Linked DNA regions of Arabidopsis thaliana. The protein of the gene in region 1 interacts with the protein of each later gene in a pairwise test. Each region holds a gene or a part of one and is shown in the gene's direction. Other genes may lie near its edges.

Evidence for each region.
Region 2: the proteins of AT2G32560 (region 1) and AGO1 interact in a two-hybrid assay, tested with the Arabidopsis thaliana proteins (one study listed by BioGRID).

The regions. Positions count from the first base shown.
Region 1 is NC_003071.7:13,819,610-13,829,393, forward strand, and holds AT2G32560 (F-box family protein), read left to right. Parts: upstream 1-5,053; 5' UTR 5,054-5,210; coding exon 5,211-5,807; intron 5,808-5,894; coding exon 5,895-5,974; intron 5,975-6,057; coding exon 6,058-6,236; intron 6,237-6,316; coding exon 6,317-6,391; coding exon of another isoform or gene 6,392-6,456; exon of another isoform or gene 6,457-6,967; coding exon 6,968-7,152; 3' UTR 7,153-7,651; downstream 7,652-9,784. Other genes in the region: AT2G32550 (Cell differentiation, Rcd1-like protein), read left to right, coding at 1-15, 1,523-1,594, 1,728-1,832, 1,947-1,989, 2,077-2,186, 2,282-2,377, 2,471-2,667, 2,767-2,836 and 1 more; AT2G32580 (transmembrane protein, putative (DUF1068)), read left to right, coding at 8,240-8,420, 9,044-9,067, 9,180-9,526.
Region 2 is NC_003070.9:17,881,482-17,894,391, reverse strand, and holds AGO1 (Stabilizer of iron transporter SufD / Polynucleotidyl transferase), read left to right. Parts: upstream 1-1,795; 5' UTR 1,796-1,964; intron 1,965-2,491; 5' UTR 2,492-2,499; coding exon 2,500-3,135; intron 3,136-3,222; coding exon 3,223-3,431; intron 3,432-3,507; coding exon 3,508-3,657; intron 3,658-3,742; coding exon 3,743-3,882; intron 3,883-3,980; coding exon 3,981-4,090; intron 4,091-4,183; coding exon 4,184-4,290; intron 4,291-4,380; coding exon 4,381-4,519; intron 4,520-4,590; coding exon 4,591-4,707; intron 4,708-5,175; coding exon 5,176-5,283; intron 5,284-5,381; coding exon 5,382-5,453; intron 5,454-5,803; coding exon 5,804-5,926; intron 5,927-6,014; coding exon 6,015-6,177; intron 6,178-6,265; coding exon 6,266-6,525; intron 6,526-6,642; coding exon 6,643-6,785; intron 6,786-6,884; coding exon 6,885-6,947; intron 6,948-7,032; coding exon 7,033-7,096; intron 7,097-7,179; coding exon 7,180-7,315; intron 7,316-7,411; coding exon 7,412-7,485; intron 7,486-7,563; and 10 more. Other genes in the region: AT1G48405 (Kinase interacting (KIP1-like) family protein), read left to right, coding at 8,778-8,823, 8,900-9,747; AT1G48400 (F-box/RNI-like/FBD-like domains-containing protein), read left to right, coding at 10,537-11,622, 11,715-11,855, 11,942-12,256.

The DNA.
Region 1 (9,784 bases):
CATAATCTCGCCTATGTAAGTGCAACAAATACTCTTCGATGCTCTCTATGTTTGATATGGTTTTTGTTTGATCTGTCGTCTCTATGTTTGATTCAACATGCTTTTGATCTTTGAATCCTATGAATACATTAGTTTTTGAGAAAAGTTTTTTTTTTTTTTTTCTGATTATGGGAAATTCTTGAGATCTCCGTTTGTTTCTTGCTGCATAGGTTAACGTCTTTATCCCTACAATATAATATCATCTACTCTCGTTTTCGCCGTCAAATGATAGATTTTATTCGTATCTATCTTAGATTTGGTTGCTTGACATGGAATGTTCTTGTTTGTGAGTCAATTTGGCTTTCCTTTGTGGATAATCATATTCTTGGAGCCTACATGAGAAAGAATAAATTGTCATTCTCTCTTTTGTTTATATCATTTGGTCGATTTGTGGGGAATTTATCGTTGGATCGGCTTTCTCATCATAAGAAACATTCAATTGTTATTCCTCTTTTGTTTGTATCCATCCATTCGATGATTAAAAGGCGTTACATCGATGGAGCGGCTTTTGCAATTTCATTAGGTTCAGGAGATCTCACTGTTTTTCTAATAATAAGAGATATTCAATTGTTATTCCTCTATTGTTTGTCAACATTTGAAGATTATCGCTATTTTCTCGTTAGATCGGTTTTCGTGATTTTAGGTTTATGAGATCTCGCAATTTGTCTCATCACATGAAATATTCAATTGTTATTCCTCTTTTGTTTGTATCCAATTTGTCGATTTTCGCTATTATATTGTTTGTCGGCTTTCACATTTTTTTAGGGTTAGGAGATCCCACAATCATTTGTATCATCGTTTCTCAAATTGCTCTGTTTTTCTTGATGTGCTCTTCTTTAGGTTATAATATTTTTAAGCCTAGATCTTGTTCTTCTGCTCGTTCTTCATTTATTTCTATATTGTATTCCGATAGATAAGAATTTGTGTGGTTTAGAATTACAGCGTATCCTGATAGATAATAAAGTGTGTGGTTAAGAATTACAACGTATCAAGATAGATTATAATTTGGATAGTCAAGGATTACATTGTCTAGTAATAAATTTTGATTCACTTTTATGATATTGCCAATTGTTATGCATTTAAAATCCTCTACAAATCAATTCTTTGCAAATTGTTTTCCAAATTCGCGGTAGGTAAAAATGACAGCTAATCATATTTGTGGCCCTATACAAGTATAGTAATTTATCTCGGTACGACCTGAATATATGGAAATCCAAAATTTTATAATTTGGAAAACCAAAAATTTCGTAATTTGGGGTATTTTGATCTTATCGATATTCGAGATCTTATCTCTAGTATTTCTTTAGATATGCAACATTGGAATTTGCCTTAATTTGTCCATAGGTTGAGAATAAATTCACTCACACTTTTAATTTTTTGAATGTCACAAACTTATATACAATCTAGTAGTCGAGGACCATTTAAAAACATTTTTGGAATGTTAACAACTTATATTATCTCTATCCTTTTTCTCCAATGGCAGCATAGGAACGACTTTGAGTTCTTGCCGAGTCTGTTATGGGAATCTAAAAATACTGTGTACATCATGTTGCAGGTTAAGTACCCACTACTTTGGTTATTTCTTTTGGCTTTTTAAAACTGATTGTTTCTAAATCTTGCCATCTTTTTTCTGTATAAACTTCTCTATATTTGTGACACTCACTTTAAATTTAATTCAATCTATGCAGGAGGTTTTTGAAGCCTACAGACACCTCGCAGGACACATCTCACTTCGATTGTTCCCTCATCCGTTGAATCCACTTCGAGTGTACAATGTTTTTCTTTTGTTCCAGGTTTTGTTTTGGTCTCACACCTTTCTTTTTTTCTTAAGTTTAAAAACCATTTCTTTCATAAATGCTTAAGCCTAAACTTGCTCTGTGATGTTATCATCGTTTTTCCTGTTACAGAGCATGGCTTGTCACCCAGACACAAGCCGTCAGTTTCTTAGGGGTATTTCTTTCTCCTCTTGTGCAACAAACCATATGATGTTGCATTGTCTTTGAAATTTTTCTGCTTATGTTGGTTGATTTGTTGCAGCTAAGATGCCAAATTATTTCTATCCTCTGATGGACACTGGTCTCATTGATAAAAGTGACGAATGCATGAGGCTTGCTGCGTTGGGTGTCATTGCTCATATGTTGAAGGCGGTACCACATACATATTCTCTTACAATATAATCTGTTTGTGACAAATGCTATTGAAAACCCCACTAAATTACTTTGAACATCTCACTTCTCTATAGTCTGAAGATGGAGCTGTTAATCGTTACCTAATGGAAAGTGGTGTTGTTGGTTTCTGCGTTAAACCCATTGAGTTTGGCTCTACAGAAACAAAAAAAGTAAGTTTCTTTCGCACGCTACTTCTACTCATTTTGACTATAAATCAAAGAAGAATAAAGAAAGCATTTTGAAACTTAATACTTGTTGTTCAGGTTGCTTTATACATACTCGACAAGATTATGTCGACGGATCAGGGGCTTTATTACTGCTGCGTCTTGGCTGATCGGTTTTACGTTATCGATGAGCTCCTTAAGAAGGTGCTCTTCTATCTTTCTAACATGGTCAGACCTCCTTCATCCTTGTTCAGCCTTGTTACTGGTTGCTACGTCAAGCTCTCCCAGAACTCCAGGTTTTCTTGCTAAACCTCGTGATAATATTTTGATATTGATACAAATGATTAGGTTTTGTAAAAGCAAACAACAGTTTGAGTTTTTGGTATATGCATTAGGGCTCGTAACGGAATAAGGCGATACACGCCTTTCTTGCTGTTTGACGGCACCTTTTCCAGATTATATGCTGTAAGATTTCAATCTCTTGTGTTTTTTGGAATTTGTATGGTTTTGGTTCATGCAGGGAATAGTAAAGCTTATGTGTGTCTTGTCTGTTTTTTTTGTAGGAGGATCCAGTGGCTGCTAACAATCGAATTCAGCTGCTTCAGAATCTGGACAACTAAAGCAATGAAGTACTCGAGACACTGTTTTCAATGAGGCAATGAAAACAGAACAGCCCCCACAGAGTACGGGTTTAGTACGCCTACGCGTAAACGCTAAGTAATAATTTACTAAAGACATAAAAACTCTATGAAAAGTCTTATGTTGTTGTTTGGTTTAATATCTTTTGGATGACTCTCGTTACTCTTTCAACATTGTTTTCTCTCTTTTGGAATACATTTCAATGCACTTTGCCATTTTCTATCTATCTTTTTCAACTGGTTGATAGCAATCGGATTTAGCTAATTTGCTTAACTATTTGCAACTTGATGATCTTGATTGATATAAAAAATAAGTTAGGGTAATGTTATTTAGATGTAAAGCTTCTGGAAGTTGTGGTTTTGAGTTCCTCTGAGTTAGTTTAAGCAACTAGGACTTTTAGAAAAGAGACCTGAAGGTGAGAGACATTTCATTGCATGGCCAGGGCCCAGAGGAATATTGATTATTAAGGGGTCTTTTGAGTTAGCCAAACTTGCGAAATCATTCCACATCCATAGAAGTCTAGTATGGGGGGTTTTGTTTGCCATAGTTGCCCCATTCCTATTATGAGTCAGTACCATTGCCAAGCAAAATCAGCTAGAAACCAATCCCCAACTTTGGATAGAATAAACATTTTAAAGAATTTGTCACATTGAATTATGGATAGTATTTACTACTGACTGTGAATGTTACCCGCCACATGCCTCTGGAGATTAGTCGGAATTTGGCTCCGGAATCTTTTGGAGTAAAATAGTCAAAACATGACGGAGTAAAAAACTAAAAAAAGCATATTAACTCAATTTACATTTTCTTAATTCTTATGGGTTACTTTACCCAAAATTGAACCACCGTCAAAATTTGAGTGCAACAGTAAAAATCAGAGTCTCGAATCCATTGGGTTCTCCAATTTTCGCCATTGCAAACAGCTAAAATTCCACCAAATCCCAGCTCGAATTTGGAACCCAGATCGCCGAATCTCGTATGGTGGCGTTAAAAGTCCGGCGGGCACCTCACGTAGGCCTCAGCCGTTTCCGCCTCTTCGCAGACTCTTCTGACCTTCCCCAAAGGTAAAATCACAATGGCCCTTGATTGGTTTTTGCCTCATCGGCTCTAAAGTTTACTGCTTTCCCCTGAGAAAATGAGTAAAATTACTACTTTTTCATATTTGGTATTGTTAGCAATTTGAAAGTAGGAATGATTAGTAGTTGGTTTAGTTTCTGGTGATTGAGCTGCTTTAGCTTGATTAGGGAATGAGTTTGAATCTCTCTGCATAAACAAGAATTTTGCATTGTTTTTGACTGTTGTAGTATCTCCGGTTATTTGGCTTGATAAGTAGGCAATGATCAGTTTTTGATATCTATAGTTTTGAAGATCTTAGAGATGTTAAAGTTTTGGAGGCTACTGTTCCTTGTTTAAACAAATTTGAGTCTGAGGTCTCTGACTTGTGGTGTGGTTGAGCATCCTGTTTTACTTCATGTGGCTGTCGTGGTGACACCGAATGGCGGTGTATGCTTATATCCTTAATCTGGTTTATAGGATTCACTCTAATGACTTCATGGAGGTTGATAATGTTGTTTAGGATGACTTGTGATCATTGCTTATTTACTATTTTTGCATAATTGTTTATTTACTACTAAGGTCATCCCCATCTCTTCTTCTTCCTCTTCTTTATTGGTTGGTTATGTTTTTATAATATAGTTTTCCTTCACTTTTAATATTGTAGGTTCAGTGAACCTTTTGTTCTGTGTCTGGCCAGATCCAATTCTATCTCCTCCCACTGTCCTTGGAAATCCCAATGCCACCACCACCAAGTAGACCTTTTTCTATATAAATTCTTCTTTTTATTCTTTAATAAGTAACCCCCTTCAATTTAGGCTTTGTTTCTAAGGCATTTTCTTTCCTGTAATCTGGGTTTTTGTGGGTCCAACACACTCTCTCTCTCTTGATTTTAACAACTTGGCAACTTCATTCAATTTCAAGTTCCAAAACAAGAGAGAGAGAGAGAGAGAGAGAGAGAGAGAGAGAGAGAGAGAGAGAGAGAGAGAGAGAGAGAGAGAGAGAGAGAGAGATAAAGAATATTTTATTGTGTCCATGAGTTGGTTAGGTGATCCTCCAATTCCAATTGGCTATCCATCTATCCTCTTCTTTTATTTATACTCTCAGAAACAAGAAATCAAAAAGGCAGCACAATAATACTGTCTAAATGCTTCTCTACTTTCTCATCACTTGTCTCTCTTTCTTTTTCTTTACCAAATCTCTTTCTCTTCCTCCATGGGCATCTGAAACCAAAACCTTGCTCTCCTTCTACTTCATCAAGAATCCCTTTATGAACACCCTACATCAGACCAAACACGATCCAGCCTCTCCGGTGATCGACCAAATGTCGGTTCTTGACCTCCCTGAGCTGGCTCTTGACTGCATTCTTGACCTTCTTCCACCCTCTGGACTCTGCAGCATGGCTAGGGTTTGTAGCTCCTTGAGGGAGAGATGTGTTAGTGATCATCTATGGGAGAAACATTTGAAGACCAAATGGGGCAAAATCCTTGGCCCTGCTGCTCACAGAGAGTGGCAATGCTATATCTCCTCTTCCACATATCATCTTGATTCTCCTCATCATCAAACTGGGAATCTTGGTTTTGCCAAAATCATCTCTCTGATCCGATCTCTTTCATCCGTTTTCCGAGAGGATAAACAAAGGAGGGGATATGCATCTTCTCTGCCACTTGATTCCAGCATGAGCTGCTACCTCTCCCTTGAAACAGGTCGTTTTTGGTTCCCAGCTCAAGTTTACAACCGTGAGGTAATCATTTCATAAACATAGTTGCTCCATTTTTGCTTTATGGATTTGATTAAAGTACTAAGAGGCTTTTTTTTGGTGAAAGAGCAGAATGGACATGTAGGGTTCATGTTGTCATGCTATGATGCGGAGCTCAGCTATGATACTCACACGGATACGTTCCAAGCCAGGTATAAAATATCTAATGTCCACATTTGACGCTAACAAATTTTCTTATTTCTCATCATAAGTTTACGTTTATTGGGGAGTTTAGGTATCCACCACATGGTAGACGAGCATCTGCGATTGAAAAGGGTGTGACATGGGATAGAATAAGAGCAGCTCCCATTGATGCATCACCTCATCTTCTCCATGTATCAGATTCTTTAAAAGAGTTGAAACCTGGAGATCACATCGAAATCCAGTGGAGAAGGAACAAAGAGTTCCCATATGGTAAATAATAATAATATGATGCTTTTGGTTTGAACTTGCAATCTGATTCTGAAAAAAGCTTGTGTGATGTTGTTGTGTAGGATGGTGGTATGGTCTTGTTCGCCACTTGGAATCCTGTGATGGAGATCATAACCATTGCCATTGCCATCTTAGTGGTGAGTTCTCATCTTCATCTTCATCTTCTGTGGTTAAAAAATGGAGTCTTGGTTGGTTGTTTTAAAATTGGCTGTCATATTCTATGCATTACTCATTGTCTCAGCTCATAAAGTCCATTAAATTCCCAAAACATAGTTGAAAAGGGTGAACATTGAAGAGAGCCAATTCAAGCAATGCCTTTTCTTGTTAAGATTGGTCCCAAAACGACAAATGATGATGATAATGTGATGATATGTCTTGATTTTCCTTGACATTTTGATAAATGTGTGTCTTCAGTTGATGTTGAAACCTCCACTTATGTCCTCATCGTTGGAATTTGCATTACTAATGGGTGTGGGGCTCAACAATGATTCTGTCTCTTTATCACTCCAAAAAAATCTCTTATTTTTATCATTTTGCTGGCACATTGCATGACCACATAAAAGTAGAAATCACATCGAAATAGATAATTTTTGGGATTTCTCTCTGCCCACTTGCATCTTGATTTAACCTTTGTCTACTGATAATGTGTTAAACGAGTTTTTGCATTCACATGTTGTACTAAATTGTCAAGTGTTGATGAATGGTAAAAACAGAGACGGTAGTGTTGGAATTCAACCAGTACACAGTCGGATCAAGGTGGAGAAGAACGATGATCATGAGAGATCATAAAGAGGAAGGTAACGAAGAAGACGGGTTCTATGGAGGAATCCGAAAGCTAAATTGTAAAGAAGAGATTGCAATGTGGAAACGTCACTGGCCTTGCTCCATCTTGGAATAGCATTAAAGAAGCTTTGCTTAAACACATGGGGAAAGATATTACACATCACTATACTGAGAGTAGGTTGTTAAATTTAGACGTCTATTCTCTTTTATCCAATGTATGGTTGATCGTGAATTATTTGTTGGGAATAAAGTCTATACGTGAAATTATTGTGTCACTTCGATTTGAGAAATATTGTGTTGTATAGGGAAAACTTAATACAATTGATTTGAATACTCAAAGAGCATTTTGGTTTTGATCTTGTTGCCGCTTGCTATGTCAAGCTCTCCCAGAGTTTCAGGTTTTCTGCTACACCTTCTGATCTCCTCTGAATTTTTTTACATGCCCTATTTAGAAATACACCTTTGTCACAATCAGTATCCAAAGACAAAGTTTCATACTGCCCATTGTCTGTTCCTCATTCCTATCTTGAGTCTTTTTTTCTTCTGCACCTCATCAGTATCATTGCCAAACAAATCATCTGTGGAGACAGAAACATTGAAACCACCTGTTGGGTTTGCATCAAATGAACATGTCGCTGCTCCTGGGAAGGATTGTATTTGAAAGTCAGAATCCTAATCAGAAGAAGAGACAAAAAAAGAAGCTTACCATTGCAGCATTAGTTGCTCCACTCTCAATAAACCCAAACTAAAGATTCTCATCTTCTTGAGAAGAAAGATTCCTGTAGTCATATTTTCCTTGCAACAAAGTAGCAATTCCATCGCCTAACGTTATCTAATAAGTAGCACTTTTGTAACGCTATAAGGAGGATCCTCCTTAGACACATCCTCAATAGTCAATACATAAAGTCATAGATATGTCTCTACACAGCTTCGGGATTCAACGTAGTTAGAAAATTAGTATCTGTAAGTCAAAAACATCACCGAGTAAAAAGAGTCCACCCATTAACTCAAGTCTCAACTTACACTTTGTTTTATTGGTCCCATACCTAAGTATAGAAAACCATTCAGTTGAATCTCCACCGACACCATAATCTGAGTGCAAGAGTCCATACTCTCCATCAGAGAGACTCAAATCCAATTCTCCTTACTGCAACAGCTCAAATTTGGAATCTTTTGTAAAAACCCAGATCAGCGGATCTCGAATGGCGAAGCACACGGCAGCGTTGAAGGTGGGACTAGCTTTACTGGCCCTCAGCATGATTGGCTACATACTTGGTCCACCGCTCTACTGGCACCTCACGGAAGCCTTAGCCGTTTCAGCCACTTCTTGCTCTGCTTGCGTCTGTGATTGCTCTTCGTTGCCTCTTCTCACCATCCCAACTGGTAATCACTATTTCCCTTTATTGGATCTTGCTTGATCGGCTCTAAAGTTTATTCATTTTCCCTGAGACAACGAGAGCAAATTTAGTACCTTTTTCATATTTGGTATTGTTTAGTAGTAGTTGGTGATTGAGTTGCCAGATTGCATGCTTTAGCTTGATGAGGGATTTTGAGTTTGAATCTCTATGCAGATAGATAGACAAGAATTGTGTAGATCTACAAGAATTGTTTTGTTTCTCTGATTATTTGGTTTGATAAGTATATCTGAAGCTATAGTTTTTGGTCATGGAGATTTGAAGTTTGCAGGCTGCTGTTCTTGTTTAAACACCAAGTTTGAGTCTTTGAGATCTGACTTGTGTTGTGATTTAGCTTCTGGTTTACTTGTTCTGGTCATTGTGACTTCTAATAGCAGTGTATGTGGTTTACTCTGTGTTTATCTTTATCTTTATCCATGTATGTGATTCACTCTTAATGAATTCATGGAGGTTGATATGGTTGTCCACAATGCCTTGTGATCATTGCTTCTTTACTATCTACAAACTTCTTTATCTACTATATGTGTATTTTTCGGATGATACCAAAAATAAAAAGCCTAACTCTTTTTACTTGTTTTCATATTGCTGCAGGACTCAGCAATGGTTCATTCACTGGTGAGTTTCTCTGTCAATTGGATTCATCAGTTAAAGAGTTCCCGGAAGAAAACTCTTGACTATGTTTTTAGTAAATGAGTCTTTTAAGAACATCTTGTCTTTTGATGCGCAGATTGTGCAAAGCGTGATCCAGAGGTGAACGAAGACACAGAGAAGAACTACGCTGAACTTTTAACAGAGGAACTGAAGCAGCGTGAAGCAGCATCGATGGAGAAACACAAACGAGTAGACACGGGTCTGCTAGAGGCCAAGAAGATAACATCATCTTACCAAAAGGAGGCAGATAAGTGTAACTCGGGTATGGAGACTTGTGAAGAAGCAAGAGAGAAGGCGGAGAAAGCACTTGTGGAGCAGAAGAAGCTGACTTCTATGTGGGAACAGAGAGCTCGTCAGAAAGGATACAAAGATGGAGCCACCAAGTCAACTGTTAAATCCAAAAGCGGCACTGAGGTTGCTTAAGGACACACCAAAGGTTTTGATTTCTTATCACACGAAAGAAAAGTTTCAGTGTATCTGTGAATTTGATTCATACTATTGTATTTAAGTTTTCTGATGGAGATAAATCAATCAGATGGAATGAAAACATGTAACCAAAACAACAAAGGATTAGTGGATTTTGAACAAAGTTACAACACAATCAAGTCATTACATTGAACTACAACATACTTATTAGGCATAGTGATGAGCACAAAGGCACTCTCTAAACACTCGGCTTCT
Region 2 (12,910 bases), on another chromosome or scaffold:
AACATCTAATATTTTGTCTACAACTTTATGTTTTTTCACCTTACTATATGATCTAGACAATCTTTTGTTAGGTAAAGTGTCTAGATATTCTTTCACCTAATTAACACGGAAACGTAAACTTGTACAAAAACATCTATTGATTATAGAAGAGAACCGAGCCGTGAGAGTCGTTTCTCGTCAAGACCGCACCAATCGACTCAAACATGAGCCAAACTGTACGTAGTTCTTATAAGGAACACAAACCTCCATCGTAAACCAACGTTTTCGATCGGTTCTAGCTAGACTCGCCATGCATGCATGTGCGTTGGTGCCCGTAATTACGTACACCAATCTTGATTGATATCAATGCTTATATGCCGTTAATCTTCATCTCGACTCTCGAGGTAGTAGTACTTGACGAGTTCTAAGTTCTTCTTCCGTTATGAGAAATCATATATAAGTTCTTCTATACATCTCGCTTGATTATTATAATCTTTCGCCTTTTAATTTCTCGTTTGATTATTATAATTAATGTTTATAATGAAAAGAATCATTATTTCCCAAAGCAAACGAATCATTTTGAGATAGACTTACAGTTATCACAAAAAGAAATCTAAACGTTTTCCCCAAGATTTAGCCTTTCGTCAGCATGTAATTACTCGTGACATATTCTCTAGCTCATATTTCTTCTTCACGCACGAGCAACCAATTTTGTTATATATGTATAAATCATCTTTGACAATTATATATAATACAGATTTGTTACGAGTATATGAATTTTTTTGAGGTACAGAAGCAAATCAACTAGTGAAACTAAATTAAAGAGCTAACCATCAAATAAAGTAAATTGAATTAAACAAACAAATCATACCACGTGATGACAGCCACCACATTCCTAAAGTTAGAAAATTGGCAAACCTGTAAAAAAGCATCACTTCCCCGAAATCGCAGGTCATATTTCTATGAAAACGAAAGAGAGTTATCTATATAGTAAATGGCTATATTCATATTTGCCCCACCACCCATGACCCATCTCAGTTAATAAATAGTTCTTCTATTCACCTCTATACTATAATCATTCACTTTATCTTATATATAGTCTATAAAACTAAACGTAATTCGCATGATTTTGCCTTTCGTTGCATGAAAAATCCTCCTTGACAATGTACAATTCGTTAGTACTACTCGATCAGTCGCCTTGACTCACGACATTTTCTCTAGCCACTGTTTTATCTTCACACACAAGTACCAATTTTAAACTGTTGTACTTAACTGTATAACATCCTTTATACGTAACGTAAGCCAAAAATTATGATCTAATCAGTTACTACAGATTAATAATAAGATTAATAACGGCCGGTCTACTAATTTTGAACACTTGTGCATGCATTATCTCTCGTTGAAATAGTAAATTAATGCAACTAACTTTACAAGATTAATCGAGGTATATTATAGTCTAAAACAAATATTTAAATTAATGCAACTAACTCTTGAAGATTAATCGAGGTAACGCATCACACTAATCATATTTAATCGGATAATACATATACTGTTAGTAAAATAAATTAAAAAAGATTTGGTAGATAAACGACAAAAATGTTTTTCGTCTTGTTGTTTTCGAGAAGCTTCTTTTTCCGGATTAAAAAAACATTATGCAATTCCACGTCATCAGCGCATTACAAACAATGAAAGACTACACACGACCTTGGGTCAGCATTCCAAAGACCCAACCCTGACTCGCCACGTCGACATATGCCAGCTATTAATGAAGAGGGTAATTCCGTAACTTACTCTAACCACAGAACCCTTGAATTTAAAGTGTAGCAGTAAAATCTCATTTCTTTGAGTTATCTCGTTTGTTCGGAGTTAGAGAGAGAGAGAAAGATATAGAGAGAACACAGAGAGGCGAGAGCGACGTAGGGTTGGTGTTTCGTACGGATTTTCTCGGTCAATCTTAGTTTCTCCGGCGAGAGATTGCTTTTCAGGTAAAAATGGCGGCGGTTTTGGTGTTTGTTCTTCACTTAATCTGTGTTCGATCTGCGTATGAACTCGATTTTTCCACTCGATTGGGTGGATCCGCTTCGTTTTGGTGTTATGGTTCACTGATAGTGTTGTATGTTTAGTTGATCTTTGCGATTTCGGATCTATTAGCTTCGTAGCTGTTTTGGTGTGTGTGTTCGTCTTCGAAGATATTTAGGTTTTTTTTTTTTGTTGCTTCAAATTTCTTACTGTTTCGTGCTTGTTTTCTTACTTCGTTTTCTGTTTAGGTCTTTGATTGTTTCTTACTAGGTTTTCTATGTTTGCTTTGGGCTGTTGAATTTGGTTTTCTATCTCTCTAGCTAATCACTGGTTTTCGTGCTTCTGAGTCGTTTGTTTTTGAAGCTAGTTAGGGTTTTCTTCTGTTGCTTCTATATTTCGATAGTTTTGTGCTTGTTTTCAATGTTTGCTTCTTATTTTCAAGGATAATTTTAAAATGACCCACTGTTTTTGGGTGGTTGTGTTATTTTCACAGGAATCATCATGGTGAGAAAGAGAAGAACGGATGCTCCATCTGAAGGAGGTGAAGGCTCTGGGTCTCGTGAAGCTGGTCCAGTCTCAGGTGGTGGACGTGGTTCACAGCGAGGTGGTTTCCAGCAGGGAGGAGGACAACACCAAGGTGGAAGGGGTTATACTCCTCAACCTCAACAGGGAGGTCGTGGTGGTCGTGGATATGGGCAACCACCACAACAGCAACAACAGTATGGAGGACCACAAGAGTACCAAGGAAGAGGAAGAGGAGGACCTCCTCATCAAGGAGGTCGAGGAGGGTATGGCGGTGGCCGTGGAGGTGGACCTTCTTCTGGACCACCGCAGAGACAATCAGTTCCCGAGCTGCATCAAGCTACCTCACCTACTTATCAAGCGGTGTCTTCTCAGCCTACACTGTCTGAGGTGAGTCCTACCCAGGTACCAGAACCTACTGTTCTGGCTCAGCAATTTGAACAACTCTCTGTTGAACAAGGAGCTCCCAGTCAGGCAATCCAGCCTATACCTTCTTCTAGCAAGGCTTTCAAGTTTCCAATGAGGCCTGGTAAAGGACAGAGTGGAAAGCGTTGCATTGTGAAGGCTAACCATTTCTTTGCTGAACTGCCTGATAAGGATTTGCACCATTATGATGTGAGTTTTGTGTTCCCTTAGTATTAGCTACCATACATCTAATGTCTATTTATAAATTTACCTGACCAACTGTGTTCTTTCTGTTAGGTTACCATTACTCCGGAAGTTACATCAAGGGGTGTCAATCGTGCTGTGATGAAACAACTTGTTGATAATTATCGTGATTCTCACCTTGGAAGTCGTCTTCCAGCGTATGATGGTCGAAAAAGTCTTTACACTGCTGGTCCACTTCCCTTTAACTCCAAGGAGTTCAGAATCAATCTTCTTGACGAAGAAGTAGGGGCTGGAGGTCAAAGGTCTAGTTCTTATGGTTTCTTGTTGATTTTTTTAATAAGGAAGTTTCAGAATAATAACATCTTTCCTATTTTACAGACGAGAAAGGGAATTTAAAGTTGTGATCAAGCTAGTTGCACGTGCTGATCTGCATCACCTAGGAATGTTTTTGGAGGGGAAACAATCAGATGCCCCACAGGAAGCTCTGCAGGTTCTTGACATTGTTCTTCGTGAGCTGCCGACCTCTAGGTACTGGTTACTCATCCTATGGATGTTTGCTTCTTTACTACCATGCTTGTAAGTCTCAGCTGGTTTAGTTTTGCTAACATGTTAGAATCAGGTATATTCCGGTGGGCCGGTCCTTTTATTCCCCTGATATAGGAAAAAAACAATCATTGGGGGATGGCTTGGAGAGCTGGCGTGGATTCTACCAAAGCATTCGTCCTACACAGATGGGCTTATCACTCAATATTGGTGTGATGGCTTGCTGTATTACATTCAATAATTTTTGATATCTGGTTCTCCTTGAATGTTTAACTCATGGTTGTGCTGCAATTTTGTCTGTTTTGTAGATATGTCATCGACAGCCTTCATAGAGGCAAACCCTGTGATTCAGTTTGTCTGTGATTTGCTTAACCGGGATATTTCTTCTCGACCTTTATCTGATGCTGATCGTGTTAAGGTATGAATCAATTGTCATTTTCTGTAGTAAGTGAAATGTTGTATTAATCTACTCTTCTTTGCTTAGTGACTTGGAATCTTCTTCTGTCAACAGATAAAAAAGGCTCTTAGAGGTGTCAAAGTTGAAGTGACTCATCGAGGAAACATGCGCCGGAAGTACCGCATTTCCGGTTTGACTGCTGTGGCCACTCGGGAATTGACGTGCGTATTTGTTTTAGATTTACTACTCTTATTTCGCGAATGTTGAACTTGATGAAATTAATTTTTACTCTCTGTTTTTATCCTTTTCAGATTCCCAGTAGATGAAAGAAATACTCAGAAATCTGTTGTAGAATACTTCCACGAAACATATGGTTTTCGCATTCAGCACACTCAACTACCATGCTTGCAAGTTGGGAATTCTAATAGGCCTAATTACTTACCAATGGAGGTAACTTTGAAATACGTCATCAGGTTTTATTAGCTCACCAGTACTTCCGATTCTAATGTGTTGCTGCACAGGTATGCAAGATTGTTGAAGGCCAGCGGTATTCCAAAAGATTGAATGAGAGACAGATCACTGCTTTGCTGAAGGTTACCTGTCAGCGCCCGATAGATCGAGAAAAAGATATCTTACAGGTATGTTTCTTTATTTTCGATAACTTTGTTTTCCTTCACTTGAATCAAGAGTATCTTTTTGTCCGCCTATCTTGATAGTCGTTTTAAATAATGTATGCTGGTGATAAAGCCTCATTGTGGAATAGATCATTGTAAAATCTGTTTATTCTTACTTGGTTGCATGTGTTTACTTGAAGTAAGTGATTTTCTCAATTCATATCTAACTTGTTTTTAATCATATAAACTTGTGGCTGAAAGGATGTTATGGAATGAATGGCTTAAAAACCTGTTTCTTCTTTACTTGGATGCATATGTTTGCTTGAAGAGAGTGATTTACCTTGAGATGATGCCTTTACTTCATAAATAGTGAGGCAGATTACCATCTTCAGAGTTGTGCTCTTAATTTAGCAGCGCGTGTGTCTTCTGGCTGCTGTTGTTGAAAACTCAATTGTTTATTGCTAACATTATACAATATTTTCTGATTTCTAGACGGTGCAACTCAATGATTATGCTAAAGATAATTATGCTCAAGAGTTTGGCATCAAAATAAGTACTTCTCTGGCTTCTGTTGAGGCTCGTATACTGCCTCCTCCATGGGTATAGTAATCGTTCCCATTGTCTCTTTGCTATTACACTTTTTCTCTGTATCTTAATGACTCAAATTAGGGTTCCAATCTGATTTTAATGTTCTGCAGCTTAAGTACCACGAGTCTGGAAGGGAAGGGACTTGTCTGCCACAAGTTGGTCAATGGAACATGATGAATAAGGTAACTAGACGAAAATGTTCCTGGTTTTCAACTATGCACTTACATGTTTCTTGCTTGTGTTACCTATATATACCTATGCTGTCATTTTTATGTGAATATTTTGTAAATCATGGCTGAGCTGTATATTTCCAGGTAATTGGCAAGAAAATTGTTTATTTATTTGTCTGTTATGAGACATATTACTCTAAAATGCTATTCTCTTGATATGAGTATGGGTGTGGCACTTGACTAGTTGCAGAGAGTATTTTGTTCATGTAGCTATGTAGATACACACTGAATTTGTCTTTGTTATTTTTTGAAAGTGATCACAACGTTTTCTGTTGTCTGGCTAATATGAGTCTTCTCTGCAGAAAATGATCAATGGTGGAACGGTGAATAATTGGATCTGCATCAACTTTTCTAGGCAAGTGCAGGACAATCTAGCGCGTACATTTTGTCAGGAACTTGCTCAAATGTGTTACGTATCTGGCATGGTGAGTCTTTGGAAGCACAAACTTGATCAGTTTATTAACCTTTCCTACACTGATTCCTTCCCTTTAATTTTTTATTTCTTACCTGCAGGCATTTAATCCGGAACCAGTCCTCCCACCAGTCAGTGCTCGCCCTGAGCAAGTAGAGAAGGTCTTGAAGACTAGATATCATGATGCCACATCAAAACTCTCCCAAGGAAAAGAAATTGATCTGCTTATTGTCATTCTGCCCGATAATAATGGATCATTATACGGTATGAGCCATGGTCTCGGATGTTTCATTGTCTACTTCTGCTTAGGAACACACTCTCAACTTATTTTCCTTAATAATATCCATTGCAGGTGATTTGAAACGCATATGTGAGACTGAACTCGGCATAGTCTCTCAATGTTGCCTGACAAAGCATGTCTTTAAGATGAGCAAACAATACATGGCTAATGTTGCGCTGAAGATTAATGTGAAGGTTGGAGGAAGAAACACAGTGCTTGTTGATGCTCTATCTAGGCGGATTCCTCTAGTCAGTGATCGACCCACCATTATATTTGGTGCTGATGTTACCCACCCTCACCCTGGAGAGGATTCAAGCCCATCTATTGCTGCTGTAAGTTAGCTTCTCCTTTAAGATCTACTTCTGTATATGGATGCTTTTGTTTATTTTCATGGCCTTAACCTTTTCAAATTGTGCTTGTTTTGTTGACAACGAAATTTTTGTTTTCAGGTTGTGGCATCTCAGGATTGGCCTGAAATCACTAAATATGCTGGATTAGTTTGCGCTCAAGCGCATAGGCAGGAGCTCATTCAGGATCTGTTCAAAGAGTGGAAGGATCCTCAGAAAGGTGTGGTGACTGGTGGCATGATAAAGTACGTGTGGATGTTATTTAATATTTTCGTGATTGGGTTTTAGCTTTAGCTTGCTCTTAAGTAACAGATCTGTACGTTTCTCCCCTTACTTTTGAACAGGGAGTTGCTCATAGCCTTCCGTAGATCAACTGGGCATAAACCACTAAGGATCATCTTCTACAGGTATTAACTCTTCTTATGGCACTTACTTGACTAAATAACTTTCTGTCTTTCTTTCTGAAATGTATTATATGGTTATTCTGCACAGGGATGGAGTCAGTGAGGGACAATTTTACCAAGTTTTGCTCTATGAACTTGATGCCATCCGCAAGGTAACAGTTACTTCTAACAAATGGCTTGTGTTGCGTGCTCGTTTTCTTCTGTTTAATCTGATTATTATTTCAACTCATTTCAGGCCTGTGCTTCGCTGGAAGCAGGTTATCAACCACCAGTGACATTTGTGGTGGTGCAGAAGCGTCATCACACGAGGCTGTTTGCTCAGAACCACAATGATCGCCATTCGGTGGACAGAAGTGGGAATATTTTACCTGGTGAGACAAGTTTGGATCTTTGTCAAGCTTTTTGTGCGTAGACCTAATCAGCTGAAAATCCCTTGCATTGGTTTTTAACCCCTTTGTTAATTGTAGGCACTGTTGTGGACTCTAAAATCTGCCACCCTACAGAGTTTGACTTTTACCTCTGTAGTCATGCTGGTATTCAGGTATAATTTACAATCTCAAATGAGTTTGTGGGTGAGAATTTATTTGAAGTGTTTAACAAATCAAAACTCCATTAACAGGGCACTTCTCGACCTGCTCATTACCACGTTCTTTGGGATGAGAACAACTTTACTGCAGATGGACTTCAATCTCTGACCAATAACTTATGTTACACGTAAGATTTCTTACCTTTGTAACATATTCCTTGTTACAAGTGTTTGCAAGATTGCAAGGAAAATAAGAGTAACATTTAAACTACCTTTTTGATTTGTACAGGTATGCAAGATGCACACGCTCAGTTTCAATTGGTAAGTTTTGTGTTTCCCATCCCTTAATGTCATCTTGATTTTGATATAAAGAAGAGAGAGATTTAGTATTCAATGTTTTTTTTTTTTGTTTTGGGATATTGTAGTTCCCCCTGCATATTATGCACATCTAGCAGCTTTTAGGGCTCGATTCTACATGGAGCCAGAGACATCAGACAGTGGCTCAATGGCTAGTGGGAGCATGGCACGTGGAGGTGGAATGGCTGGTAGAAGCACACGCGGGCCTAATGTCAATGCTGCAGTGAGGCCACTCCCAGCTCTGAAAGAGAATGTGAAGCGTGTCATGTTCTACTGCTGAGTTGATTCACCCTCTATCTATCTTTATGACCTAAATTAATGAAGAATATCATGTATGCTTTCTAAGACTTATCGTGTGTTTGGATATTTCATCACTCTTTCTCTATGAGTATGAGATGCTTTATGACTCTTGTTTGACAACTACTAAAATTTATTATTCAAAACAGACTTTGATCCTTTCTTTAACTCGTCTTAAATCTTTATTCAAGAGATTTTGTGTTTAGAGATGTTTAGGTTGTTTGTATTGTCGACCACACTACTACATTGTAGGTATAAGCGTTGAGATCCAGGACTAAAATCCTGACTACAATTCTTTATATGTAGTCAGGACTAAAATCCTGACGTTATCACACAAGTAAACATGTGGTTTTGATTTAGAGGTTTGCGTGGAAAATGCCTAAAGTGGAACATTTACAAATTTTAAATTAGGCTGATTTTACTGCCTCTTTTATGCTTTCTAGTTTCTCTCACCCTGTCGGATATTTGCAGCATTTATGGTAAATTCTTCAAAGCCCATTAATTGCCATATATCAATCTCTCTCACTGATTTCATGCGTTTGCCTTTCTTTTTCCCTATAATTTGAAAATGGGGTTTTTGAATTTTCATTGAGCTTCCCTTGTTTGGCAGTTTCTCTTCCATCTCTTAACCAGCAAAGCAATCGACAGAATCCATGGATGCCTCTCAGTCTCCTCTTCCACAGTTGCCATCTCTCTCCGGTACACTTAAAAATTCAAACTTTGTATATTGTTTTTGTGCTTACTTTGTTTGATATGTTGGTGAATATGGACACAGATCTTGAGTCTCGGATGCAAGTAATGCGGGTCTCTGCTCTTGATGATAACCAAACCGGTGAAACATTTTCTCAACGTGCTGAATGGTTTTACCAGAGAAGCCCTCTCCTTCTCTCACTCTGTCAAGATCTCTACGATGGTTACGCCACTCTCTTGGACCGTTTCAATCAAAACCCTAAACAAGTCATTCCTCATGACAATGATACCGATACTGACATCACTTCTGAAGTAGAGAGCATCTTGTCCTTTCAACAGATGGAAGTCTCCACTTGTGATATGCAAAAGAACATTGAAGACTTAGTCTCGCAGCTCGTTACTGCAAACTTGGAGAAAGATACCGCGAAGCACATATTACAACGCAGAGAACAAACGTTGCAAGAAGCTTGCAAGACAATTGGCTTGCTAAAGAAGCTTGTGATGTTGCTTGATATGGAGAAGGAAGTAGCTGTAGAAGAAACCGCAAATCTCGGACACAAACTTACTTCCCTCTTGGAAGAGAACCGAGAGCTCGCCAGTGAAGCGCTGTTCATGAAAAACGAAGCAGTTAAGCTTGCTAGGTGCGTTCTTAAGATGAGGGATGAACATTTTCACAAGATGTGTCATCTCCAGAACCAAATCTACGAGCTGCAGTCATCGAGAGAGCCTGTCTACGAAAATGAATCCTCGCAGAGCTGCTTTGGATTGGAAAATAGTAAGAAAAAGAGCAAGAAGAGAAAGATGAGTGAAACAAGAAGTGAAACTGGAGAGAAAATGAGATCCAAGTGGTTCAAGAGACTCAATACCATCAATCCCTTTACCAAATGTAGCATTACGCCATTATCTTCTCCCCTCTATCATGCTGCACTCTAAATTAGTTACTACTCTTTACATTGTATTTCTTACGATGGATAATAATGTCTGCCTATGTTCTATTTGCCTTGTTAGACAAGCAACATTTAACATCAAAATAACCTTGTGATTTTAGGTGCAAACTAAGTCGAACAAGCAAATTCCGGTAAAAATGTTCGATAATATATTATGTACACCGAATATATAAGAAAAGGTTCAATAAGACTACAGACTAAAACCCTATGATTCACCACTCATCTGACCACAATGGAGACATTGTTGTTGTGAGAAAGTGGGGGAATAACATACCGAAAGATTACTGTCTAAGTAGGATCATCTTGTTTGATGTCTTTTGTGTTTTTAACACTCTTTCTATACCAGGAATAACATACCGAAAGATTACTGTCTTTGTCTTAAAAGTCAAATATTTCACGAACCTCGCCTGAACCCTGCAACATAATACTATGATTTGAATTTTTGAAGGACCATCATAGATGACTCAAGCTACATAATATCTGCAACCAAAATCTCTAAACGGTTAAAAAAGAAGACGCAAAAACTATAATGAGATCGAAAAAGAAGCTTTTTAAGTTTATTAAACCCACCTAACTGAACCAACTAGCCCAACATATAAAATCCACAAAAGTCGAAACTGTTAAATACCCAAAATGTATCTTTTAATTAGAAACCCTCCAAAACCTAATTCTCTTTCTCTCAGATTTTCATCGTCAAGCTTTTGGAACACTTCCTCGTCTCTCTGCCATCGTAAGTTCCAAAAACTTTCTCTTCCTGTAGTTAAAACCCTAATTTATGGCTATGATGAGAACTTCTCCTAGAGATTCGATAAGCAATTTGCCAGATGAGATTCTTGGCAAAATCTTGTCTTTGCTCCCGACAAAAGTGGCTGCTTCCACATCGGTTCTGTCCAAGAGGTGGAGGAATCTGTTGGGTCTTGTAGACAACCTCTGCTTTGATGAGTCGATGGTTGTTTATCCCAACGAAGAAGAAGAAACAAGTGGTTCACTTCGCTTCTGTGATTTCGTAGACAAGACATTTGCTCTGTTAAGCAATTCTCACATCAAGAAGTTCTCTCTGTCTCGTGTATATAAGTATAACGATGATGTAGACGGTATGGTCCGGCGTTGGATTCGGACTGTAATGGAACGCGGTTTATTGGAAATACACTTGCACGCCACCCCCATGTCTTTTGTTGCCATAGAAACTAAGCTGTTAACGAGCAACACACTGGTTAAGCTCACACTATCCGCTCGATGTTTTGTTGAAGTAGAGCGTGTGTTTTTCCCTGCCCTCAAATCACTTTCTCTCTTCTCAATTCTGGGTGATTATACCAACTATATACGGCTCATCGATGGCTGCCCTGTGTTGGAAGAATTATACATGCGTGATGGTGATTATCCGTTCTTGCGGCTTACTTGTGGTACCAACGTGGAAAGTGCATCCCTCAAGCGACTTGTGATTTTTACCCATAATCCAAATGAAATGATTTGGCACGAACTGATTTATTTTGAAGCACCAAGTCTTGTCTACCTTGACTATTCCAGTTATGTCTCGGCTAAGTATGATGTTGTTGATTTCGATTTGCTTGTCGAAGCCAGGCTGAGTCTCAGGTTATGGGTGTCAACTAACGATTATGATTATTCTGATGATGATGATGATGATGATGATGATGATGATGATGATGATGATGATGATGATGATGATGATGATGATGATGATGATGATGATGATGATGATGATGATGATGATGATGATGATGATGATGATGGTGATTATTATATTGTAGAACCAAAGGCGCCTATATTTGGTGATGTTACAGAACTACTTGCGGCTATACGCAACATTACGACCCTTCACTTGTCTCCTGATTCCCTTGAGGTTAGTTTTTGCTTCGTCTTAGTGTTTGTTACCGGAGCTAGCAAGGTCTCTTACTTATTTATGGTTTTTGGTTGTGTTCGTTTATAACTTAGGTGTTTCATTTCTGCTGTAAATCCATGCCCGTGTTCAACAACCTCCTTAATTTATCTATTGAGAGTAACAAGGATAAAGGTTGGCAAGTAATGCCACTTCTCCTCAAGAGTTGTCCAAATCTACACACCTTAGTCATCAAGGTATGATATAAACCTTGCTGAGATTCTTTTCTGTTGTTAGTGTTGCCCCATTAATTTATTCATGTCAAATTGGTCTCTGGTTTCAGGGTCTTGTCCACAGAGTAACTAGTAGATGTGGAGATGCATGCGCTTGCATACCTAAGAAGCAGAGGAAGATTGTACAGAAAGAAGAGGCATTATGTTGTCTGCGGACATGTCAAGTGAAGGTGCTACAGATTTCAGAGTATGGAGGTTATTTTCAAGAGCTGAAACAGATGAGACATTTCTTGGGCAAGTTGGAATGTCTTGAAACCGTGAAAGTTGGTGTTCACGCAGAAAACAACAACAACAGTGAGTTCTTGCGAGCTAATGTGCTGACTCTTCCCAGAGTTTCAGCAAAGTGCAACGTCCACTTCATCTGATTTTCTTTCTTTATCTTTCTTTGTTATATATATAGCAATAGTTTATGGTTAAGAGAAACGCAGAATATTGGGGAATTATCAATTATGCAAGTTTAGTTGTGCTTGTGGCAGCAATCATCAAAACTTGCACATCAAATTGTATAAGTGACTCTTTTAGGTAAAAAATAAACATACCAGAAACACTTGACAAGGTTTGTCATCTCTAATTTACGCGCTGCCGTCTATGAAAATGTATCCTCACAGAGCTGTTTTGGAGTGGATAAAACTAAGAACAAAAGCAAAAAAAGAAAGATGATTGAAACAAGAGGTGACCATGGAGAGAAAGGGATCAAAGTGGTGAAACAATACTATCAATCCGTTTTACCAAATGTAGTATTAGCCCATCGTCTTCTCCGCTATATCGTGCTGCACTCTAAATTCATTACTACTCTCTACATTTGAATTTGCATAGGATGGATAAGTAATATCTTCTTATGTTCTATTTGCCTTGCTAGACGTAGCCGTGTTCTTAAGCTCTTCTAGTATTTCAAGTTGCTTTTGTAAAACTTATCTTTTGTATATCCATTGGATAGGAGAATGATATAAATTCTTCTTCCATATCTACTGAACCATCATAAATGACTCAAGCTACATAATATTTGCAACACAAAATCT